2 linked regions of the Xenopus tropicalis genome follow. The protein of the gene in region 1 interacts with the protein of each later gene in a pairwise test. Links are inferred from orthologs where the notes say so. Each region holds a gene or a part of one and is shown on either strand. Other genes may lie near its edges.

What was found.
Region 2: the proteins of zc2hc1a (region 1) and castor1 interact in binary tests that used the Homo sapiens proteins (3 or more experiments, as listed by UniProt). The two-hybrid records come from large-scale screens. The link is inferred for Xenopus tropicalis from reciprocal best matches to the Homo sapiens genes ZC2HC1A and CASTOR1.

Annotation. Positions count from the first base shown.
Region 1 is NC_030682.2:123,225,644-123,238,435, reverse strand, and holds part of zc2hc1a (zinc finger C2HC domain-containing protein 1A), read right to left. Parts: intron 11,875-12,792; coding exon 11,822-11,874; intron 8,040-11,821; coding exon 7,923-8,039; intron 5,588-7,922; coding exon 5,446-5,587; intron 4,514-5,445; coding exon 4,365-4,513; intron 1,798-4,364; coding exon 1,698-1,797; intron 1,443-1,697; coding exon 1,334-1,442; intron 1-1,333.
Region 2 is NC_030677.2:144,399,004-144,412,274, reverse strand, and holds the start of castor1 (GATS-like protein 3), read right to left. Parts: upstream 7,697-13,271; 5' UTR 7,460-7,696; coding exon 7,347-7,459; intron 2,956-7,346; coding exon 2,885-2,955; intron 1-2,884. UniProt on the Homo sapiens protein: Functions as an intracellular arginine sensor within the amino acid-sensing branch of the TORC1 signaling pathway. As a homodimer or a heterodimer with CASTOR2, binds and inhibits the GATOR subcomplex GATOR2 and thereby mTORC1.

The sequences.
Region 1 (12,792 bases):
ACGTGTACCTTATGTTGTATGTCTTCTTCAAATGAGCTTCCAAACTGTTCCCATTACACAAGGTCCCACCTGTGGTTCTGACTTACCCCTCAGGTTTAAAATGTTTATCAACATTACTTCCTGATCCCCAACTTGCCCATAACATTTTCTAGACGTCACCTTCCAATTCCTACCTGGTTATTTTCCAGCATCTTCCTTCCAAACTGTACTTGCTGCTAAAAAGCCTCACAAAAAACACACTGCAAAAAAGGCTTCAGCCAGCCCTCTAAACTTGTGTATTACTGGCCTCTAATTAAGCTTTATTACTTTGGAACAGATTGTTCTCTACGGTAATAGCATCTGGGTACTCTTAGTCCAGTGTTTTTTTTTTTAATACCCCTAAAAAGCCTTGCCAAAGCACCCTCTTACTGCCCCCAATAGACTTGTATGTGCAGCCCTGGCAAGCTGTGCAAGCTCTTACAGACTGTTGCGTTTTTAGGAAACTATTGCCTGATAAGCATGTGCACAAGCACTTGCAGGTGGTTTACATTAAAGCCGGTATGTTTACAGAAAGCTAGGATAAAATCTAGCCAAGCCTAGTCCCTAATCTGCTCTGGATGGAACTGTAACAACAATATTTTATGTTTTTGTATGGCGGTTGGGGCTGAAAGGTTAATAGACAGCAAAAGGATGCAGGCCTGAATCCGAAAAGTTTCAACAGCCCTGCTCTGTATTCTGTAGCTTCACAGCTGCTAATTGACAGTGCAGTGCAAAATGGGCATGGGTTGTGTGACCACCATATGAGAACTGCTTACCCCCAGTCCCGGCATCAGAGCAAATAATTATTGAAAAGTACAGGCAGGTCTTAAAGGAGAAGGAAAGGCTAAGTCACTTGGGGGTGCCAAAATGTTAGGCACCCCCAAGTGACTTAGAGCGCCTACCTTGTACCCCGGGCTGGTGCCCCTGTACGGAGGGAACAGCACCAGCCCGGGGCACCTGTAGACACCGCTTCCTCCTTCCTTTGCGCGCTGCCGGCGAAATCCGCCGGCCGGCGCATGGGCAGTAGAGTGAAAAGCCGACTTTAATGTTTAAGTTCGGCTTTTCACTCTACTGCGCATGCGCACGCAAGCGAGGAGGAAGGAGGAAGCGCCGGCAGCTACCCCGGGCTGGTGCTGTTCCCTCCGTACAGGGGCACCAGCCCGGGGTACAAGGTAGGCGTTCTAAGTCACTTGGGGGTGCCTAACATTTTGGCACCCCCAAGTGACTTAGCCTTTCCTTCTCCTTTAAAGTTAAATATGCAGTCAGAATAATTTTGTACATCAGACTGTAAAGGTGGGCTGTTAACTGGACTTACCCAGCCTGAGGACTTGTAACAGTTGTAGAATTTTTATGTGCCGGAGACTGAGTTTGATATTTATTTCCCGGAGCTCCACTGTTTGCTACTGATTTTCCTGATGGGATACCTGAATGTAGGAGAAGATTAAAGTAGCAAATTGTAACAAGGAATCTCTGCCAGTGATGGCACTTACATTTCAGTAATACATATATACTGTATATATGCAGGCATTGTCGCTTGAATGTACAGCAATTCCCAATAGCTGGAAGACCACTGTTATTAGTAAAGCATTGGCAGAAAAGAGTAAAAAGAGGTCTTGCACATAAGTGTAAGTTTATGTATATGATAACACTAACCCATACACAGAAATATTAAAGTCTACCTGAGGTGGTTTTTCCAAAATTTGGTGGCTGTGGCAGTCGTGAAGCCGGGGATGATACAGCCGCGGGTGAGTTAGTCTTCTTAAGACTCAGTGGCTTATGCTGCAAAAATAATGGTATATTAGTTGTTGCCATAGGTTAATACAGTGAGGCAAATAAATGCTTTGTTGCTACACAGGTCCAATACAGGCTTAATGATCTTGACCTTGTAATGGAAAGTATTAAATAGTTTCACACATCAACTTAAATCTTCAACAAAAGATTTGTTTGAATTGTGATCCCTAATTTTCACATTCAAATTGCGATTTGTGAACCAAAATGTCCACATTCAATTGTTCTAAGCTTTAAAGTCACATGGTTTATAGGTTCAGAGTTAATTCTTCTGAACGAAAAATACTTAGTCAGAAAATAGTAGTGAGATCTCTAAGGCTTGTGTTTTCATTTGGGGTGGATTGCCACCTAAAACCTGACAAATGTTTTTGACAGCTAAGGATTCGGCCAAATATGAATCCTGAAAAAATACCCCACAAAGATTCAGCTGAAACCTAGAAAGAATGCAGGATTATATTGGAGGTTAACTGACCAGTATCATTAAACAGTGAAAATAGCTTATTTAAAGGACAAGGCAATGCAAAATATATTTTTTTGCCTAATAAAAGAAAACACAATTCTAAGCAGCTTTGCAATATACATTTATTACAAATTTGTAATTTTTGAGTTATTTGTATTTAAAATTGCTATTAGAGGCAGTGTTTGCCTGTCATTTTCTATTCTCTGCCCTGGTGGCTCTGACTGTTGAAACAATGTAACGCAAGGCAGCAGATTGACAGACCTGGCTTGCTGGAGGAGACTGACAGTTGCAACATTGTTAAAAAAGTAACAACCAGGAGTTCAGCAAATGCTGCTCTCAATAGCTATTACATTTACAAATAACTTTTAAAGCGCTACAAATTTTTAATTATTTCATATTGGAAAATTGCTTAGAATTATGTTTTCTTTATTTATGCAAATAATTATTTTTGGGGTTGACATGCCCTTTAAATGTAAAGTTTGTACCTGTTCATTCAGCACCTACATATAAATTCTTTTTTATATTGGTTTATAACGGTTTTATCCTGTAATCCCATAGAAAGCCACAAATAGCATCTGACCACTGTTTAGTTTCCTGTATAAAAATTAAACCCACTGGAATCTAAACAGTTTATCTGCAATCTGCTCTCTAAACACAAGCCTTTTTGCCTAATTCATCTTGAATGACTAACCCCATGGCTACCCAGTCCCTTGTTAATATAAACTATAGTGGTGTTTCCAAAGCACACACATTTTTTTTACCAGTGCAGGGCAATAATATTTAAATGCATATAAAAAAATTTTGGTTTTTGATGTAACTGTTCCTTCTAATGTTTATTTTATAGGGTATCATGCTTATAAATTCTGCAAAAACCCAAGGAAGCGTAAAAAAATGAATTTGTCTATCCAGCTAGAAGGAAACCCTACCTTTCATTTCAACATATAAACCAATGCAATATTTGCTTCAAAGAGCTGGACCTTTAGCACTTTGGAAGAGCTATGCACGATACAAACCATGCCAGCGATTGCTATCAACTTTCATTAGTGTTTGTGATGGCATTGCCCTTTGATATGATTATTGTATGGGTGCACCTTAGATGACCTACATGCTTTGTGCAACTAGTTTAAAATAGGAAACCCCTTGAAAATAGCCTGTAAGGAATGAAGGAAAATACACAGGATTGAAGTCCATGATGTGCTACCTTGGCAAAACCATCTGTCATGTGGATCTACGCCAGCTATTCACAAACTGTGGGGCTGGTGCCTCTTGCGGGACATAGAGAAGTGATTGAGGGGCCCAGTATGAATGCTGGTTAGGGTAAGATTTGTGGATAATGTTTATTTGCTCTCCTGGATATACCTGAGAGTCCAGCATGGCAGTAAATTAAAGTCTATCCAATATATTTGCTATCCAAATATTCTTGGAACTATGGCTGAATGACTGATAACAACTGTCTTACATCTGTCACCTTGTGCCAAAACCACGTTTTGCCAAGATTCCTTTTTAACTGCAAAATAGATCAGTTAAGAAGATCATTTGCACCTGATGACCTAATCATACTTATATAGTTTCTTTCTTGAAGGCTCAGAAACATTTTAGCACCTTCCCATAAATCAAAAGATAAGCCAACCATGCAGTTATAAACTATTGCAAGACTTCACATCCAAAAAACCATCTGAAATGTGGACCCAGGGGTGAGCCAAGCCAACTGGGCACCTTAGGCAACCCAGTCGGCCACCTTGCCCCTGCACCTTCCCCCACCTCACGTGTGCCATCAAGCAGTGAGGGAGTTATTGCCCCACCGTGTAATAACAACCGGCTGGGGCAAGAGAAGGGGTAAGGGGTAGGCAGGAGAGGTTCCTGTCTGGCGCCCTAGGCAGGTGCCTCTTCTGCCTACCCCTAGTTCCAGCCCTGTGTGGACCTAAGGGCCAACCAAATCTTATCCGCAGCTCCACTAATTTATAGTCTGTAATTTCTTTCTGGCATAGTTGTTCTCCTTTGTTGGCCATGTTTTTGGTAGCATCTGCTAGTTATTCATGACTAGTTATATGCAAAATACAACACTCTTTTCAAAATTTCCCCCCAAATTTATTATTACCTGGGGACGTGGTGCTGGTTTTCCTTTGGGATCTGGGCCTCCTTTCATTTTATTTCCCATGCGTGCAGCTTGCTCCTTGCAGAAGTTTATGTGTCGATCAGCAGCATTCTGATTAAATCTCCTCTGACAATAGGGACACTGAACATAATCTAAATTTAAAAAAGAAACAGTAAAATGCAGGTGTTACACAATGCTTATGTACTGATTTGTTTTTGGAAAATGACTGTTTTGCTACATGATGTATGATGCCTATGTATGTCATTATTAGTTTATTATGATTAGGACTTCATGTAGTAAAAAAGGTAAAGTTGTGCTCATCACTAAATTTTATACCTTTGGGGTGCAATGGGGGTGTGACCACAAAATTCATACAAAGATAAAATACAAGAGTAAGTGGCATAAAACAGCCAAGATAATGGAAAGCACTTATGGCAGCCGTAGTGCTTGTGGTAAATAGTAAGGTGGCGGATAAACCTGCCCTATGCTAGGATACAGCAAAGCCACATATTCCATCTCTTTTCTCTCAATGTAGTGAAGCCAGTTATAATGTACTGCTAATTACACATGCAGAGTTAGCCTCATTTGCTGGACGAATGTGCACCAACCTATAGCAACCAATAAGAAATTCACTTTAATTAGTCGGCTGCATGTGGCACCATAAAGGAAAATAGCTGGTTGCTATGGATTTTGTCCAGTATCAGTAACTGTGTGATAGTCCTGGGCTCTTGGGGACCTATCTGTAAAACATCATGCAAATACTGTATATTTTTTCTGGATAGAATGGGTGTTCTTCTTGCATAAAAAGCAGATATAAAACTAGGAAGCTACTTTATATTCTGGCAATAATGAGCAATTAGGAAGCTTCTTTATATGCTGGCAATAGTGAGCAATTTGCTAGATGGTGTTAGGGAATGATAATATTCTGTCTGACTTGAAAGGACTACATCAATCATAGATCTGCATTTGGCATCTGCTAATATTAGCAGATAATGCAGGGAGATGAGGCTGTATAGGCAATAGAGCAGTTATATGGCCTATATCAGATAGATAATGATCTGCAGATATATTAACAAAGTCATACCAGGGTCATATGAAGGTGGGGGTGGAGGTGGAAGCTCACCACCTTCTTTTATAATCTGAGAAATTCCTTTAGCAGCTCTTATAGTGGCAATAAATTCTTCATGTTTCCTCCTCCAGGTGGACTGCTTTTTGGGAGGTTCTGGCTAAAAGAAAGAATGCATATAATTAAGCAAGCCAAGGCACCAAACTCAAAAGGAAGTTCTAGGATTGCTTGAGAAATAAAAAAAAAAAAAAAAGAAAATAATTTTTTATTCAAAATAATTAATCAAAACAAAATTTATCCTTTTGCTTGGGATGCAATATATGTGTTTGAATAAAGCAGCAAACTAAAAAAACATTTGATTATTACTGCTTTTAATTTATTAAAGTTGACTTAATAAAAAATACAGTTAGCGGCAGACAGCAAAAGATACCAACTAATATGATCTTTAAAAAGCAGCTTTCCAATAACGTTATGAGTGACCTACGAATTTACCACTGGAGGGCAGCACCGAACATTATAAGCAGCCTATACATAGTATATACGTTGTGTATATTTCCAAATGATAGATAGATAGAAATAATGCATAAACGTGTATTTAAATATTATTCCACCACACAAATTACAGTTACCAATCGGAATTTAATGGGATTCAGTAAAGACTCCCCTTACTTTCTTAGACAACACTGAATCACTGACCAGAATATGCCAATTCTTTCTCAGGAACATCACAAGAATAAGTTATTTCCTGCACCTATTCACCAGGCTACACTAAAGCTGGTCATACATGGGCTGACAACATTAATTAAACCCAATAGGATTACATTGCCTTCAATAAGAATTCCTTTTTAAAAGTTAGGATCAAGACCACTATTGTTTTATTATTACAGAGAAATGGAATTTATTTATAAAAAAGTAAATTGGAATCTTCTTCCACTTTTAAAATAGTTCTCTCCTCTGCACAGAGAGGTCCCTCCTCTGCTTCACAACCACTTCAATGCCGGGGAGCCTGGATATGCCAAATCTGTTCTGTGTTCTCAAGCCAGGTATGGGAAAGGGGGCAGCCAATTTTTTTAAAATCAGTGTATGTGTTTGGTTCCTTGCCCTTCAAATTAAAAAGTCATTCCAAATCAACAAGGAAATCCAAAGAAGTTTACCTATTCATAACTGATGGCCAACATTCAGTGACTGATAAAATCTCAAAACAATGGTTGGGGGCATCAGAATGGATGGTGGGAATAAAAATAAAGGCGTGAAATAGAAGGGGAGGTCAAACAGAAGGTGTAAGAATAAGAGGTTGTGAAAAACGGAGTAAGTAGAAGGGAAAATTTGAAATGAAGACAAGTAAACGGGGAGAGAAGAAGGGACAGATTGAGATAAAGAAAGCAGAGAAGAAAAAAAAAATCTTCAAAAGAAAAGGAGCAAATCACAACAGACCTGTAAATAGGTCACCCAACTACTAATGTTTTTATTAAACCTTCCTGCTGCCAGCTATGGTTCCTTTCCAAAGGCATTGTAATTGAGTAGTGGTAGTGGTCCAGAAGAAATTGGTAGTATTTACTCATATATAATCTTGTAATTAACCAGCTTCTCATTACTCTCAATATTTACAGACAAGGTATTTTTTAGAATTTAAAACCATTGTGCAAGTTTTATAAGTCTGCTTGGTGTCATTTCTGGTGTTTGGCATGAGAGTGACATGAGCACCCAATTCTTTAAATGCATGTGTGCAGCACCTATGGTTGCGGGGTGCAAAGGGAATCTTGGAGCTACCGCCTGGAACAGAGAAACAGCAGTGGTAAATTCGTAAGGGCTAGCAGGAATGACTGAGGGGCGCTAAGCACAGCTATGCAGAAGTGCAGAGAGTGCATTTGATACAAGTACCTTTAATAAATTGGGTTTATAACACATAGACTGTAGGGAAACTAACAGAAGTGCAATAAATGTCATAAATGACATTAACCGTTATAACAATCATACACCAACCCAACTATTGGCTTTTACTGTGATAGGCTGCCTTTCCTTGTATTTCTCATTCCAGAAGACTGACACAGGTCTAAGGTTTTCTAAGCCCCTATAGCCAAAGTACCATCAAAGCTGATGGGTACACAGTGAAAGTAGTTTAAATAAAAACATCTTTTGCACAGGTCTGAGAACCCATTTGTTTGGAGCTAGTGTAGACCAGCATATAATGCATGTAGCCAGGCTGTTAGTTAGAGAGTTCTTTCCACTGCATATTATCTTATATATTTTTTTCCAACTTTCTCACTAATTAAGCAATAGACCACACATGGTGCTGTCATGTTCACATAATATTTATTCTCCTCATAAATTACATTAAAGGGTAACTCTACCCTTGTACAGACAAATGGATTCATGGTTGACAAGCAATACAATTAGCAGTGATATTTTTGTGCAGTACAGCAGAAATGACTAAGTAATACGGTGTTTCTTGTGATTTGGCATATTCCTAAACTACAATATGGAGCATTACTTACCCGTGCCTTTACTGGTTTTACTGTACTGATATCTGTTCCCTCTGCTCTTTGCCTGCTTGAATCAAAGGCTTTTCTCTTTTTCACAGCTGATTTTTGGCAAATCGGAATGTGTTTTTTCTGTTAAATTAATATAAAAAAATGCATTAGTGCAAATGAATTTATGTAACAGATGCAGCGTTTCACCTAATGACACATGTGGCGGTGGAGAGAATGTCAATCTGCCCAGGGCCCTGTGACCAATGGCAGGATCTGCATGTCAGCTCTCACATCTCCATGCTTGTGTCTATTCATATGGGTGGTTACCAAGTTGCAGAAATCCCATGTAAATGAAAGTGACCTCCAGTGTCCAAATAATCTTTAAAGGAAATGTAGGGATATTTTGGCTATTGTAGGAAAACTGAGGCTGTGGCTCCAAATCAGGAAAATTCCTTTGAAGCTTATTACCCCCTGCTCAGATTATCAGGCTGTTTTTGTAAATCAAGCCTTTGCTCATAATAAAGTAAAATAATAAAATAAATATGTAAAGTTATAATTTAGCTGTAGGTAGTAGGTACAGTTTCAGGATGGATATAAATAATACAATGTTTAAAAAATATAATGAAATAACAACAGGTAGGACATAATAATTAATTACTGATTATAATAAATGCAGAAATAAAATATAATATGTATACAGCAGGATCTGTATACCCTATAGTACCAAGCCCACTTAGTTAAACCAACCAGTGTCATTCAACAGACTTGGCTTTTTTCACTGTTCCACTTGCCCAATCAGCTCTGAGATCAGCCACTGGTATGTGCAGGGCAGGGTGTGTTGTAGTGGCATTTAGATGCTGTTTAGGTATGGGTTCATTTACATCCAGGACTAGGTACAGGTTGTATCTGGAAGAGCATTTTGCTCTACTGTTGTACACTTGCCACCCCTTCAGCTAACCCCCTTTATATTGGCTAGACAGAATTGTAAAATCTCATCAGCAGTATGGTTACCTTTGTGAAATAGATATAATTTAGACTGTAAGCTCTACGGTGCAGGGACCTCCATCCTCTTGTCTCTATGATTCTTAACTTATTACACCTGTACCTTGTATTTATTATCATACTTTGTATTTATCTATTATTATTTTAATAACACCCTGTATTCATTTATTGTTCAACTGTACAGCTACTGTGCACATAAGTAGCTCTTTATAAAAAATATATATAAACTATAATTTTGCTTTTCCTCATGCGTTCAGATATAGACTTGCATTTGTGTTTTAAATAATTGTCTTACTGTGTAACCAAATTATATTTCCCCTTTATCACATGAACAGATGACTGGACATTCACCAAGAATTTCTGGGTCCAGTGCAGACTCAGTCCAATCTGTTTGTAGATGAAGGCCTGGGGATCATCTAGGTCAGCGGTTCTTGTCAAAGGACCCTTTCACAGGGGTCACCTAAGACCATTGGAAAACACATATTTCTGATGGTTTTAGCAATAATTTTATGGTTGGGGGTCACCACAACATGAGGAACTAACTGTATTAAAGGCGGCATTAGGAAGGTTGAGAACCACTGATTTTAAATCAATAAGAGAAGAAAGAGCCTACAGAAAGAAAGGATTAGAATTGTCTAGGTGTTTTATTTTGCAAATCTGAGATAAGCATTCAGTGACCTTAGCTGAGGCTAGAGGGCCCTGCAGTTCTAATCTGTAAAAATTTGCCACTGTTCCAAGTCTTCATTTGGAGATGCTGGCTCTCACTGTGGTTGGATGGAGTCCCTGAGCCTTAGACATGGATTAGTAACCATTTTCAAGCTAACAGATTTCATCAACTCTTTTCTCATCTCTTATGAAATTTCCTTTTATCATGGGATAGTGTTCTTGTAGGAACTTTGTGGTGACTGCTCCGCTCTCATTGTTCACACTCGTTTTTTGTTATGATTCGCTTTTTTTGTGCTAAAACTATAATTTTTCACCATTTATTATGCGTCAAAGCCACAAAAATTCAAATGCAAAAGTACGACATCTAAAGGTTGTAACAATCTTTATTTAATTTGTGGTTTTCAGGGTTTTTTGTCATTTGTAAGTCCACAAAGATTCGTAAGAAATTTAAAAACCATGAAAAATTTGTGTTTTTCTTGGTCATTTTTTTTTGCGCATTTTAATTTCTTTATGCTTTTTCAATTTGGATCTTCTAATAAATGACCAGACATCCATGGTTTTAATAGAAACAAGTTTATTTATGGTTTCAAAAACCTTTAAAACTGTGAAATACAGATAAATCTGCCTCTCAATAAGCAGTTACGTTAATTTCAACAGGGCTGTTTGTGTGTTGGATAACTTTTTCCTTAAAGAGGTGGTTCACCTTCAGATTAACTTTTAGCATATTGCAGACAGCGATATTCTGAGACAATTTGTAATTGCTCTTCTTTTTTTTTATCTTTTGTGGTTTTTCAGTTATTTAGCTTTTAGTTTGACAGCTCTCCAGTTTGGTATTTCAGCAGCTATCTGGTTGCTAAGGTCTTATTTACCCTTTCAACCAGGCAGTGATTTGAATGAGAGACCGGAATATGAAAAGGTCTGAATAGAAGGACTGAATAGAAAGCTAAGTAATAAAACATAACAATAACATTGTAGCCGCAAAGAGAAATGGATTTTTGTGTGCTGTGGAGTGGCACACATCTGAAAGCTAGTAGTAGGCAGAAAATAAAATCAAACAATTGAAAAAAATGCTTAAAAAAAAAATGCTAGGAAAAAGACATTCTATAAGATGCTAAAAGTTAACTTAAAGGTGAACCACCCCTTTAAATAAATGCAGAAATAATGTACAAATTGTGTTATATGTCTACTAAGGTTCCTTTTATCTAAAATTACCTTTTATTTAAAGAGAGGGATCGGGGCAGATTACACTATGGCCAAAGTATATATGTACATCTTTATTTATAAAGTGTCTTTAGTTTTCATGCTGGCATGTTGTTAGCTTTGGGTTTAAGTAAAAATCTTCTCTACTCTGCTCCATTGGGTCAAGGGAATGAATTTGCGGATTTTAAGTTTACTCATCAAAAAAGTTACATTTGCCTTGCATTTACATTGTACTTAGATACAGCATTCCTCCATTCTTATCATCCACCAAATCTCCTTCACACACTAAAAAACTCATCTGTCCTGGCTTTAAATCTAAAAATAAAACAACAGCATTAATAAAATATGTTCTTTGAGACAGTGATAAATTATTAAGCGACCCCTCTAAGATTCCTGGGTTATTTATCATGATTTTGCAAACTGAGATATGAAAGCGGGCCCATCTGTTACCTCATCCATGCATGACCCACATAGACTCCAAGCCAGTTAATCGTAGCTCAGCCTGTTACACAGACCATACTTACATTTCTTTTCATACACTGCAGTCAATAAATGATGTGGATTTTTGATTTGTATAAATTCTTTTAAACTATTTACTAACTTTACATATACTATTCTATACACATTCTATACAGTAGAAAAACAGAATCCTTTTGTATTTTTGATTACAAAATCCAGATTGAATTGGCCTTCCTTTAAAAAAGTTTTTTTATTTTCCTTCCTGTCAGTCCGTAATTTAAAATGCTATCTTGTTGTTTCTAGTCGCCGATTCCAGAAAGGCAAAAAAACTTTTGCAGCCTCTGTAAGGCTACAATGTTATTGATATTTTTTTATTACTTATCTATCTTTCTACTCAAGCCTTCTTCAATTCATCTCCCAGTCAATCACATCTTCAAATCACTCTCTGGTTGCTATGGTAAACTGGATGCTAGCAACCAGTTAACTGCAAAAATGAAAAAGCTGCAAAACTTCATAGTTTCAGCAGGAACAGGACAACCCTGCTGTAGCCTGAATTATATCAAATTTCACTTTTTACAGAATACACATTTACTCACCAGTGTCGACGTAAAAAAGGTCCTACCACAAATTTTGCATGGTTTAAGTTCTTCTGGAAAGAAAAAAATAAACAAAAATAATTCAATAAAATGATTAGATGTCAGTGTTAAGGGAAGGTTGTTGTGCAAACAGCAGCAAAGCAACGTGACATAACCCTGCTTGCCTGTGTGCTTTTAGATAGGCAACCATCAGCTTTACACAAAGTATTCCTGGGAACTCCCTATTAACTAATCAGCGCTCAAAGCTTATTTAAAAAGATTGCGGCATGATGAAAGATGCAAGAAGTAACAAGGAGCAGAGCTTGATTTAAAGTACAAATATCAGTCTGGAAATGGAGTATTTAAACAGTGGTGTAACCCAAATGTATTATAACCAAATAGTATCCATGACCCTGACCTCTTCATACTTCTACTTAATGTGCAGCTGTAAAGGTGAAAATTGGAGTCCTCAGATTCCCCCCTTTGCTCATCCTGCATAGGGGGTGTGTTGCTATATCACAGGCGCCCCATGCATCAAAGTATGTGGGGTTGGGAGAACACAAGTCAAGGTGTACAAGTTAAAGGAACAGTAACACCAAAACATGAAAGTGGTTAAAGTCATTAAAATATAATGCAATGTAGCTCTGCACTGGTTAAACTAGTGTGTTTGCGACAGAAACCCTACTATAGTTTATATAAATAAGCTGCTGTGTAGCCATGGGGGCAGCCATTTAAGCTGGAAAAAAGGCCCAGGTTACATAGCAGATAACTGATAAGTCATCTAGAATATAAGGGGGTTTTATCTGTTATCTGCAAAGTAACCTGTGTCCTTTGAATGGCTATCCCCGTGGCTATACAGCAGCTTTGTTTCTCTAAACCAGTGATCCCCAACCAGTGGCTCATAAGCAACATGTTGCTCACCACCCCCTTTGATGTTGCTCCCAGTGGCCTCAAAGTAGGTGCCCATTTTTAAATCTCTGGCTTGGAGGCAA
Region 2 (13,271 bases), on another chromosome or scaffold:
ACTCCTTCAAGAATAACTAATCTGATTAATCTGTAACTCTCACTGTAAAATACAAAAATCCAAAACACTGAAACCCCTCAACTAAGGATTTTGCTGTCTAGCTTTCCAATAAATACACTACTTGTAATATTAAAAAACCTAATCAAGAACACATTCAGGCATCAGGAACCAATATGTTTAAATAACACACAATAGCTTATCAAGTTGAATTTTTTTTTTCCATAGGGATACAAACATGCTACTGCTCAGGAAAGAGAAGGGAGCCACCGGCACATAAGAACAATGAACTGGTGAAACTCCAGGTCTCAGTTAAATACTTTTTCCTTCTAATAGGAATAAAATGTACTGCCAGATGCTGTCAAATGAAGCAATCACAGAAATCTAATTAACACTGAGTATGCAAAAGAGCCATAAAGTCTGTATAATAATGCTAAATGCAGGATCTACAGTCACACCTGAATGGCTACAAACTGGGAGTAAATGAGGTACTGTACATGCATGCCTACAGAGATACATAGTATACTAATATTTGAACGGTTTTGTATACAGTCAGAACAAACTGTAAAAAGTAACATAATATAGTAATTTAGGCCACTTAGGACACATTTCCATCAAGTTCAACCTTTTATACCTAAATGAAACCTGCCTTACTGCTTGATCCACAACCTCTTCACATGTGTAACGGTACAAAGTGATATATTCCGCAGCTTGCAGAAGCAAAATTGGCTCACACTAACTGCATTTAGTCACAAGAAACCCCAAAATCTCAATCCACCTCTGGCCATAACAAGCCAGAGTAAAAATGGCCATACATGGGCATACTTAAGATGCTAATTTGGCCCCATCAGACCAATTTGGCAGCTTATTGGCCCTCCAATGGGCCTACGTGACCAATATCTGGCCAAAAATATGCCAAATATTGATCATGCAGGCAGGCTTGATTTTCCTGTTGGATCAAGGACCTTAATGGCTTGTTGATGTGGTCCACGTCCTGATGGCCTGTATCCCGTCATTATGATCCAATCAATTGTCCCTAGGGCTTAATGCTGGCCATATATTATAAGATCCGCTTATTGGTTTGCTGCCAATATGGTCACCTATAGTTCTGCAATCAAAAGAGCCAAACATAGAGAGGATAAATCTGCCTCCAATAGTTATGGGAACAGGCCAAGGGGAAAATGTAGTCACTTGACACCACTGTGTATAGTCCATAACAAGCCACTGCTGTAGAATTACCGTCAGGTTGTTGGCTGTATGGGAAGACTGATGAAAAGTTCCCCAATGCCAATACCAATAAGCCGATGTGGTCCTCAATCCAATGGGAAAATCAAACCTGCCTGATAGAGATCTGGCCAATTTTCACTTATACAGGGACAGATTAAGTGCCAACTCAGTCTGAAGGGACACTGGCTAACAACTTCCTCTCCATTTTCCGTCAGAAAATTCAATGCATTGTTGCTCATTTAAATTTGTAAACCTAGTTGCTGTGCTGTATGCATGACACGTTAAAATCAAACAAACACATGGGTAATATTTACTACAACATCAGCCAAAAACATGTTACAAGCCCATTAATCATCATCTATCTACTAAAAGAGTTCATGAGTTACATATTCAGATGTGATGTTTTGAACTACTAAGAACTTATTTTGTGACTGATTTTAATTTTTTCAGAGCATTTGTGAATGGCACATCACTGAAGACTGTCCATGGCTAATTTACAGTTCTGCAAAGCTCATTCCCTGACACTAACAACATTTTCATTGTTTGGTTTGAGGGATTGGCCTAAGCAAAATGTTGGAATCAGTGATATAGCCATATACTGCTGACCACTGCCTGTGCAAAAGAGACAGGGAAAGAAAAAAACAATAATGAGTAACATTAGCAGGCAAAAAGGAAAAAAATCAGAAGCATAAGCAAGGGCCTCTGGATTAGCGATGTACCGACCAGCCCGAAAACATTGGGACCTGTGGGTCGGGATCCTCCTCGCCTGAGACCTTACACTTCCCATCTTCCACATCCGAAAGCCTCTATGTATCGGAATACGCCTGCCCTACCCTGCCTCCTTTGTGGCATGAGAGATGGGGCAGGTAGAGTGCGAGTCTAAAATAAAGGTGCATTGTTGGGTCAGGTTGGGAGGCAGTGGGTTAGGGACATTTTGTCAACCAGCACATCACTACACTGGAGTTATACAGGTTTCATGTTGATGGACAAAATATGCCATAAAATCCCTTTCTGTCATCAAGAGTGTCAGTCCCTAACTATAGCTAGGTCTGTGGTATGGGCAGCTTGTGTGCAAACTTCCCAGTCCCACATGAAATACATAAAAGAATTACCTGCAACATAAAGATTTTCTAAAAAATGTACCCTCTAATTCCTTCTTGGCTATGTAAGCAAAAAATTATTTTGTGCGCATTTTTAAAAAGTGTGTGCTGAGGTCAGAAAAATTACAAAATGTTGTGTTCTTGCACAAATTTTTTTTGTGTGCATTGCAATTTGTTGTGTACGGTGGCCTCTAAATTTTCATGCACGAGAACAAGGTTACAGGTTACAGTGTATGTTCTTTGTCATTTTACATTTTATCCAAAAGAAAAGCCTTTTTCCATATCTATTATCCTGCAGCAAGCCAGCATGCACTTCTGATCACAGGCTTTGTGTAAAAGAAATAAAACACATGCCAGGCTAAGGCAGGTTGGATCCAAAACAGGAAATGTCCTTTCCAGCATGGGTGGGAACAGAACTCTTTCCTCCCTGTATGGCATTTAAAGCAGATTTCAAATTACTTTTATTTCATTGGCACATTATCCTAATAAAATGACAAATTTTATTTTTACATATTACACTTCCTCTGAGTCTATTATTGTGAAATAAATAATATTCATACCTTCAAAGCCTTCCTCATCCAGCATCAGTGTGTAATCTTCTGGTGTTTCTGTCAAGCTGAAGAACTTGCATCTATCAAATAAAGAGAGAAACTCACATTTAAATGAAAAGTACAGCTTGGTTGGCTCAATGTACAAACTAGATAGCAGCCAAACAATTATTCCAATCAATAGCAAATGCTCTGCAATTTTTTGTGTGCCACATTGACAGATTTTCTATAGCACAATATTATAATAAAGGACACCCTGACATTTAATATGCACAAAGTGAATGATGTTGTGTGACCAGATTCTAATGATTGCAAAAATCCATGTCTATAAACCCCCTCACATAGAAGTGAACACTTGCACCTAGGTACTGAAATCAAAGTTACAAATTATAGTTTTGCACTATACAGCATGCACAAGGCTGGTATTTTCACTAGTGTGCTACTAAGTGACAAAACCAAAAGTCCAGCTGACTACTAAGAAAATGTTTTCCTGTAAGTGTTAGTCAAGTGACAAACTTTATACTTTTCTTGTCTAGTAAACCACACTAACTTTTTAGACCCTAGGCCTAGAGTATGATTAACAATACTTTGTACTGGAACTTTTTCAAGCATGATGAAAATCACTAAAACCGTGTTAGAGGCCAGAGCCTAAGTTATATTAGATTTATGCTAAAAGATAAAAGTTCAAAGCTGGTCAGTAATAAACTGTTATAGGTACAGGGGTACATTTGGACTAAAAAGGCTTAAGCCTGCATTGTCTGGCTTTAGCTCTGCTTTAAAGGAGTGGTTCACCTTTAAGATAACTTTTATCGTTATAGTGCAGTGATCCCCAACCAGTGTCTCAGGAGCAACATGCTGCTTACCAACCCCTTGGATGTTGCTCCAAGTGGCCTCAAAGCAGGTGCTTATTTTTTAATTCCTAGCTTAAAGAATTCCTAGCTTATGCTGGCTGCAAAAAAACAGATGTACTGCCAAGCAGAGACCTCTGTAGGCTGCCATTCCATATAGGGGCTACAAAATAGCCAAATCACAGCTCCTATATGGAACCAGGAACTTGAGTCATGCTTGTGTTGCTCCCCAAATCTTTTAACATTTGATTGTGGCTCACTGGTAAAAAAGGTTGGGGATCCCGGTTATTGAGAATGCCATATTCCTAGCCACTTCAAAATTGGTATTACTTATTCATTATTTATAGTTTCTATTCAATCCCTTTATCTTCCAGTCTCTCATTCAAAACACTGCTTGGTTGCTGAGGTGAACATGACCCTAGCAACCAGAAAGCTGACATTATTCCAAACTAGAGAGAGTTGGCGAACAAAAAAAAGCTAAATAACTAAAAACCCAAAATAAAAAAAAATGATAACTGCAAATTGATATTCTGAGACAATGTCTATGTCATACTAAAAGTGAATTTAATGGCAGCTGCCCGGAAGACAATACTACACAAATGGCTAGCCTCAGATACCCCATCCCATAATACTAGCAAAACAAAAACTACACCATATTTTCTACATGGATTGGTTGGAGACAACAACTAAGAAAGAAGAAATCACTGCAAAATTCGTCAACACATGGCTTACATATATATCCTCTTTACCTCAGACAATCATAAATCTCACGGTCTAGACATTCAGACAAACCACATGGTATGACATAGAAACACTCAAGGAACACCCACTCCTGATTGAAGCATCCCAGTACTTTCAAAACCTGCAAATCCAAGAAACTAACCAACAAAACTACGAACCCCCCAGGAGTCAACAAATAAATAAAATGTTGGCAACATACTTACAGTAAAAATAAATTCCACAAGGTCCAGGACGAACAGGTATGAGCTAAAAGTTCAAATTTTGTTAAATATGTTGAACCCAAATGTTTTATTTTCTACTACTCTACCTACAAGACACAAATTTAAGATAACAAATAACCACAAATGTTGTAATAGAAATGTTTGATGACATGAAAATAAAAACAAAGTTTAAAAAAAAAAAAGTGAATTTAAAGGTGAACAACTCCTTTTAAGTAATGGAAAATGTACTGCTAATTCAATGTATATCAATGGATTCAGTAATTCTCTGAGCCTAAACCATAATGGCTTTCCCACAAATATAGGCCTACTGACTATTTTCCCAGTAGGCATTTTTCTACTAACATGTAACATGTCTACTGATAGGTATAGATTCCATCAAATCCCAACTCAGTTAGGCAGTCTTCTGCTACTTCTTGCTTTGAAAAACCCCAATGCCACCAAATGATCACCCCTAACAGAGATCAACTGAGAGCTGAAAGGCGCACTTGCAATGCACCACCACAATCTTAAGAGATGGTTTGGGGAGACCTGTTGCACACCCCCACTGATGTGTGCAGCTTGTATCTTGCATTTTACACTGGTGTTATCAGAAAGCTCCACATGCTATATTCCCTTAAATAGCCTCACACAGGAAGAACAAGCACATCCATTTGCGACAGGTGTATAATTTCTGCAGTAACCAGGTTACAGCCATTTCCAGCTCAGAAAGCCAGTACATAAAACTGCCATGGAAAAATGTTACTTATCACATGGGACAGCAACATATGGAGCAAATGGAACATATCCAGGTGGTATGTGTCCAGTACAGGGCAGATTTCCAATTTAAGATAAATCAGGGTTAATTTTGCATCAAATAGTACTATTAGATTTGATTTAGCACCACTTGATACCTAGCCCTGAATGGGATCACTTTACACTAAGTGCAATCTATAGCCAGAAGAGAGTGTGCTTCTATTGCTACTACACATCAAGCTCCATTGTTTTAGCTATAACATAAATTGTTTTAGTTAAAACATCTACATAATAGAAACAGATTGTTCTCTCCAGCAAGTTAAAACAAGCAGTCCACAATGGCAGACATACCAACTCATTTCCTACTCTGCTTAGTAGATAAGCGTCACCGGCCCTCTAGCAAGAGAACAGGAACACCTGTCTTGTTTTAACATGAGAGAATGAGCTGTTCTATATATTTTAAAAGTAAATATGGGTACAGATATAGACTCTTTAATGTGAAAAGCCATTCTCCAGAAAGGTTTGACATACAAATTTTTAATTTTCATAATGTCCAATTTAAACAAGCATTTTTTTTTTTTTTAAATCATTTCCTTTTTCTCTGTAATATTAAAACAGTAGCTTGTACTTGACACTAAACTGCATGAATCCATATTGGTAGCAACACAGTCCTACTGAGTTGATTTAATGTTTTTGCAAGCATTAAGGTACAGTGCCCCAAGCTACAGAAAGACCCTTTAATACCCTTTATCCAAAAACCTTGGGTCCCCAGCTTTCTTAATAGCAGATCCCATAACTGTATTTCAGGAAAGTGACTCATACGCAAAGTAGCAAACTAAATAATAAGATAAATAACAGGAAATGAAGCACACATTTTCTTTTACTCTAGGTCCCCCTTTTAATTGTTTAAGTGTAACAGTGAGTGCTTTCTTGCACTGAGGAGAGTGTGTCTGTCTTTGTAGGTCACACAGTTAATCTTGTGCAAATGTATAGGATGCCTTTGTATGTGAGCACTGGGATGTCTTATGAAATGTGGTCATATCATTAATCGCTTACAGAAATTCTTTATAAAAAAAAAAAAAAAAAACGGTTAACCAAGAACCTTGTATTGTATGTAGCACAGTGCCTATTATGATATATATATATATATATATATATATATATTTATTACACACTGCAGGAAACCATGCTTTATTGATCTCACTGGGATCTGGAACACAACAGCAGGGCATGCAGGCATAACTAGTTTCTCTATGCCCATCATCACACTCACACTGGATGCAGAGCCCAATACTAATCAGTCGGTGCATTACAGAATAGAAGCAAGTGGTCACAGCTGATAAAACGCTCTCACATAGACTGAATGTCAGGAAACTGCCAGGGGCAGCAAGCCAAACTCAGAACATGCTGCCTGGCCTGTGCAATTCATGCCCCTAAATGAGCTGCCCAACTGTTGTTCAATTACAACTCCCACCATGTGACTACAGCTTCAGGAGCTCAGTGGATGCTGCTAGGATTTGTAGTGCAACAGCTGTAGGAGAACCCTACCCACAATGGCAGGACAGCAAGGATACCAGGCACAGGTTGCAGGATGCCAGCACTGTAGGTGCAGATATTAGACAGGTGCAGTAACCAATAGCAACCACACTAACCGCTAGTGAGGATGAAATCAAAAGGCAAAGGCAAGTGCAAGTGCAGTCCTTGCCCCACATGGTTCCCTGATGCAATGCAATGCAATGAGACTGAACCATCGGCCAAGTTCTAGGACTAGTCGGGCAAGCCGTGCAACTCGTAAATGATCTACAGTGCAGGTCCCTTCCTCACTCATATGCAGCTGGTGCTGCCAGTGTTAGGGGCAATAGTGCTCTCTCTCCCCGAGTACCACAGCCCAGCAGCTTTGGCTCTCTCCCCGCCCGTGTGTTCTTTATATACCTGGTGCGCTGCCTCAGGAACAGTAGTTTGACCAGCGGGTGGGTGTAGAACCACAGGCCACACTTCTCAATGCTGGTCACTCGCACCCGATGCTCCAGCAGCTGTAGATCCATTGCACGGACACCCAGCCGAGACCCACAGCGTGCTCCACGGGGCGTGGCCTTGCTAGGAAGGGATGTGTCAATCAGTAGCATGGGCCGGGCTCATAGTGACACACAGGGTGATGTGCCGGCTGACCCGAAACCCAGTGGGTTCGGCCCGAATATTGGATGTTCATGGCGGGTGCGGGTCGGGTACCTGATATTCTTGGAAGGTATTGCAGGCCATGGGATGGAAGAGGCTGAACAGACAGTAACAGGAACCAGAGGGGGGGCGGTACGGATAGCAGATCGCTCACTGAGGGAAAAAACATTGATTGATGTGGGGAAAGGGGAGGGGCGAGAAGCTGCAGAAGTTAGGGACTGAGGGCAAATTTACACTTTTCATTAAATAGTAGAGACGTTCTAGTAGTGTGTGCATCGTTCCCTCTCTGGTAGTCAGCTACTCGACTGCCTATCATTGTAATTTTATTGCCCGCAAAGCCTTTCCTGATGCTGTATCACAGGCAGCCAGTGCCTTACTGCCAGCAATTACTGTTCAGAGGAGAGAGCAGCCTTATACACGCCCCCTGTGGTTTGTTGCCCGCCCAGCTGCTCAATCAGCAATAGAATTTATTGTGGCCCCGCCCATAACGTCATGGAACCGCCTCGCCTCCCAAACATTCTCTGCCTCTTCAGGTTTGCAAGGTTTGAGAGCAGCAACAATAAACATGTCTTCAGCTTGATCTAGTACTAGTAGCTCAAAGGCACACCAGGAAAATCCCACCTGCTTGTGACATTAAAAATACATGTGATTTGTTGCAAAGTGGAGAACTTAAAGTACAACAGAAAAAAGATGCAGAAATCTATAGTGTGGAAACAATTTGGGGGAGGTAGTTAGCGCAGACAAATGTAAATACAAAGGCTATGTAAGCTGTGTGAAATGCAAAGCACTTTATAAATATGACAGTCACAAGACTGGTACTTCTAATCTAAGCAGACACATATGTGGGCAAAGTTCCACAGGTAGAACCACTGCAGCATCTTCTCCTTACATAGCAGAGCCAGCAACAACAAAGCCTATAGTGTCATACTTTCTAAAAGATGTATCTAAAATTCCAGTAAATGTCAAATTACAGTTGTTAGATTCATGTGTTGATTTGTACTGTATGGATATTAGGCCTTTTGATATTGTGACAGGAAGGATTTAAGCGCTTTGCCCAGTCACTTATTAATATTGGTGCTACCTATGGATCTGTTAGTGCAGATATGATTCTTCCCCACAGAAATACTATATGTAAGAAGGCTGTAGAAACAGCTAAATTAGAAAAGCACTAGAAGATGGCATAGCAATCACTACTGATATGTGGACTGACAAACACCATAAACAGGCATATACTGTGCTAACTTGCCACTTTTTACATGTAGTCAATACCTGGCTATTAAAAGCCAAAGTCATTGCATTATCCGAATTTGAGGCAGGAGTTTCTAAAACAGCTGAAAATCTTACTGGGCAGATTAACAAAGAACTGTCTGAATATGGCATTACATCCAAGTTATATTCCAAAATTGTGTTTGTGAGTGACCAAGGTGCAAACATCAAAGCTGCTCTTCTCAATTGTCATTGGATTCTATGTTGAGCATATGTACTGAATACAGTGCTTAAGCATACGTTTGATGGCAATTCATTACCACGAGAAATAAAAGAGGTAATCTCCATTATAGATAAATGCAAAAAAAATCTGGAACAGTTGCAAGAGTTCCAGAGTATCGGTCCCTCTTTGTGCCCTGGTTTAAGGAGTTTATGAGCGAGCCAAAAATCAGTTATAAATCCTCCTCAGGCTTTTGCCTGATTTAATTTGCAGTAGTACAGTCCTTACCATTGCCACAGCAACTATTAGCTATAGTACAGCATCATCCACACTCAGTGCCACCACCACCTCCAGTACAAGCCATCAACTAATTTAGCTACTACTTCTCATTTTCAATGAGGTTTTCACAGGTTTTCTGTGTGAGTTTGGCATTACATTATTTTCTTTAGTTTTAATTCATATACCTAGTATGAACTATGTGTGTGTAGACTGACTGTACTCCTGCAGTCTAATAGGCAAGTAAAGCCCCCACTGTTGCCTGACCCCCTGGCCTGGCCCCTACCCCACTGATTGAGCTGCCTCGATTAAAAAGACTTGGACTCACTGCTTACAATCTACACTGATCCTGCACTACATTTGGATGAAACTGCTTAGGTGGCCCTCCTGTCTGGAGTCACAATTAGACAAAATAAGTAAAAAAAGGTTCATGTCTTTTGCTTTTGTATACCTGACTCTATATCAATGTGCTGTATTGCATTGACCAAGAAACCATAATGTGAGATCCTGGCTGTGTTTTCTAAAATATGGCTTTTTGTGACTCACACCACTGATAAGCGGGTGCGGGTCCTACAATGGAAACATTTTGCGGGTTAGGGTCAGGTGTGGGTTGAGTTTTTCCTGACCCGCACATCACTAGTAGGCACAGAAGGACCATCTGATAGATATTGATTTGGGCCATAGTCTCAATATTATTAGTATTCTGCTGTTATGCTTTTCACTATTATTATTATAACTACAATTTGCTTTTTAGCCTCTTAACTCTCAGCCTGTAACATTTCTCTTTTTAGCGCCATGCCCAGATCTCTGGAAAACTTCAGTCTGGTAAATGTATTGGGCAAAGGCATCTTTAGAAAGGTGTGTTGCTATGTCCGTAATAAGGATTTGTACCATACTAAGGCATAGGCACTGAACCTATGGTCTCATTCCAGGTGTTCCTGGCAGAGTACAAGGACCCAAAATAACTATGTGCCATAAAGACTATAAGATAAGATTACTGCCAGGAGTGATATCAAGAGGTCAGTAAAATGGGTCTCATTACTATTTCTCTGCTCTCTGTGATATTCTGAAATCTTTAATTTAGTCATATATATGTAACCCTATCCTCACCGCTTCTGGCACTTTTGACAGTGTTACACTCCACGTGTGGCGCTTACCTGATGGCACGGGACAAACCTGAATCACTCCGCAGTGGTATTGGGAGAGACTGGGTACCTGGTACTTATTAGCGCAGTGCCTCCACCTAGTGGGATCCGGGAGTGCACCTACGGGTGGCCCCACTAGGAACAATAATAATGCACACACAGTACTTGATAAACGAAATAACTTTTATCTGAATAAAGGGGAAACTAATACAGATAACACTCCTATCAAAGTGGCAATAAGGGCCTTACTAACTAGCTTTGCCAGCGCAAGCTATCTCACTAACTATGTACAGTCCTTTAGCTCAGTCCAAAGGAAAGTTTATATACTTTAATCTTCAAGCGCTCCTTTATTAGTTTCACTTTAATGATACTCACTCCAGGGATCTCTTTGGGTGATTCACACAGAATCTTCAGGCGAGTCCAGCACTCACAGCCATGCAGTGCGACTACTAGCCCCTTTAGGTACTCAGATGGGATTCCCCTGCAGGTGTTTGTTCCTCCAGTCAGGACTCCTCACAGAATCTCTGTCTCTCCAGGTACAGGGTCTGCCTTCCCTGTACCAGCCTGTTCCAAAGGCCAGCTTCTTCTTGTGCTGCTCCTCTCTCTGAGCCCACGTGCAGCTTCTGGAGCTCTGGGACTTTCTGTCTCCTCCCTCAGGCTTCCTCTCCCAGGCTGCTTTGCAACTTCCGGCAGCCCTGAGCTTGCTGTTCACCTTGTTGCTAGGCAGCAGCTCACAGCACAAAGTCTCAGTGCCAGCTCCCCTACAGGGAACAGCAGCAGGAGGGGGGTAAGTGCAGGGACCCAGCACTACCTCCCTACATTCTCCCCCTGCTTGAATGGGCAACGTCCTCGCTTGCCCTTTCTCACCATTCTTATTCTCCCTAACCTTTGGGGGAGATACACAGGGGAAAGCTTTCTCACTAACTGCCCTGACACTTCCCCTGCCTGAAGGTCTACGCATTCCCAGGCCCAGTCTCTTACTTTTATTGGGGATGCCAGAGTGCTCAGAGACCATCCTCGTGCCACAGGATTTCTCTTCACAAATATCCACTTCACATGGAAAAGATGTCACATATACATCAGTGAAGTCTTCATTCCGTCCCCAGTCACAGGTGTGGGAAGTATGACCGTACCAACCACAGGTGTAACACCTCACCTGATTACGTCTCTTCCGATACCTCTTTTGGGGTGGCTTCCTCACATCACAGCCATATGAAATAACTTCTGTAGCTGCAGCATTTTCACGTTGCGTCGGACAGTGTGGGGATATATGGCCCAACCGGCCACAACGGAAGCACTTTGGTGGGTCACCGCGAGCACCACCTGCTTTAGGAAATGAAGAGGTTCTAGACATAGTTGACCCCTCTTCCTTTTCGGACACACGAGCCTTGAGCTGAGCAACCTGTTTTTTTAACTCAGCAATCTCTTCCGCTTTCTGCGAATCACTGTATGTCCTTTCAGAACCACGACTTTTCTTCTCTCGTCGCAGAACATTAACTTCCTCCTTTCGGATCTCCCGGATCAGCTCCTGATAAGTTGGTTCTTTCTTTCCTCTGTAGAAAGATCTCAACATCACAGCTGTGGGATCCATAGATAAAGCCCCTCTGAATAACTGTTGTAGCCTCATAGAATCAACACGATCTGTAGCAATGATTCTTCGGCAAACAAGTAATTTTAGCATTTGCTGCAGTCGCTTCAAGTACTCAGACAGATTCTCTTTTTCTTTCTGCATGCAAGACTGAAATTTGTACAACATTTCAATTTCATCTTCCACCGGTCCATATGTATCTTCCAGTACTTCTATCAACTTCTCAGGACCATCTTGTGGGCACACCTCTCGGTGGAGCTTAATTAGGTCCAATGCAGGCCCTCGCAAACTCTCTTGGATCTTGCGACATAAAGCAGGACCAGAGCCAGGCCAATCGGTAATAGCAACCAAAGCAGCATCTCTCCAGGCCTCAAAGGTCTCTTCACCTGGAGGAGTAGGTTCCATACCTGAGAATATTTTTAGTCTCTTATAATTTCCATTGTATGCCAGCTGTCTCAAATTCTCACCGACTTGGGCCAAGACTTCCACCAGCTGAGCTGCCTCAACAACATCACTTAGAGGTCGGCTCCTCCCAGCAGAGTTCAAACTTTCACATGATGCAGTGTATTTCAACTTTGTCTCAGGTATCACATCAAACAGTCTTTTAGTCACTGGGCTGTGATCAGCAGCAGGTATCTGTGGGGTGCCACTGCACAAGGGATTTGGATTCTCCAGATCGCCTCCCACTTCATCCTCACTGTCACTAAGTTCCTTCTCCTCAGGGACATCTGGTAAGACAATTTGCCAGTAATCATGGTCTTCCGCCTGTACACCACGTGCACATGTTTCTCTATTAATCTCACCAGGACTATCCACAAGCACATTTAAGAGGATGCCATCTGGGTCTCGTCGCGAAGCTACCACTCTAGGTCTATAAATAGATCCATCTGCATCTAGGATCTTGTAAATAAATTCCTCTTTTGTTTTTGGTATCATAGGGCCCACTACAGCAGTCTTTTTCGGGTTTAGGCCCAAACTCTTGCACCAGTCCAGAACACTCTGGGGACTCTCAGTAGATGACGCCATCTTGTTTCACTTTCTGTGCAACCAGGTCCCAGCCGGATCTCAGCAGTGCCTCCAAAATGTAACCCTATCCTCACCGCTTCTGGCACTTTTGACAGTGTTACACTCCACGTGTGGCGCTTACCTGATGGCACGGGACAAACCTGAATCACTCCGCAGTGGTATTGGGAGAGACTGGGTACCTGGTACTTATTAGCGCAGTGCCTCCACCTAGTGGGATCCGG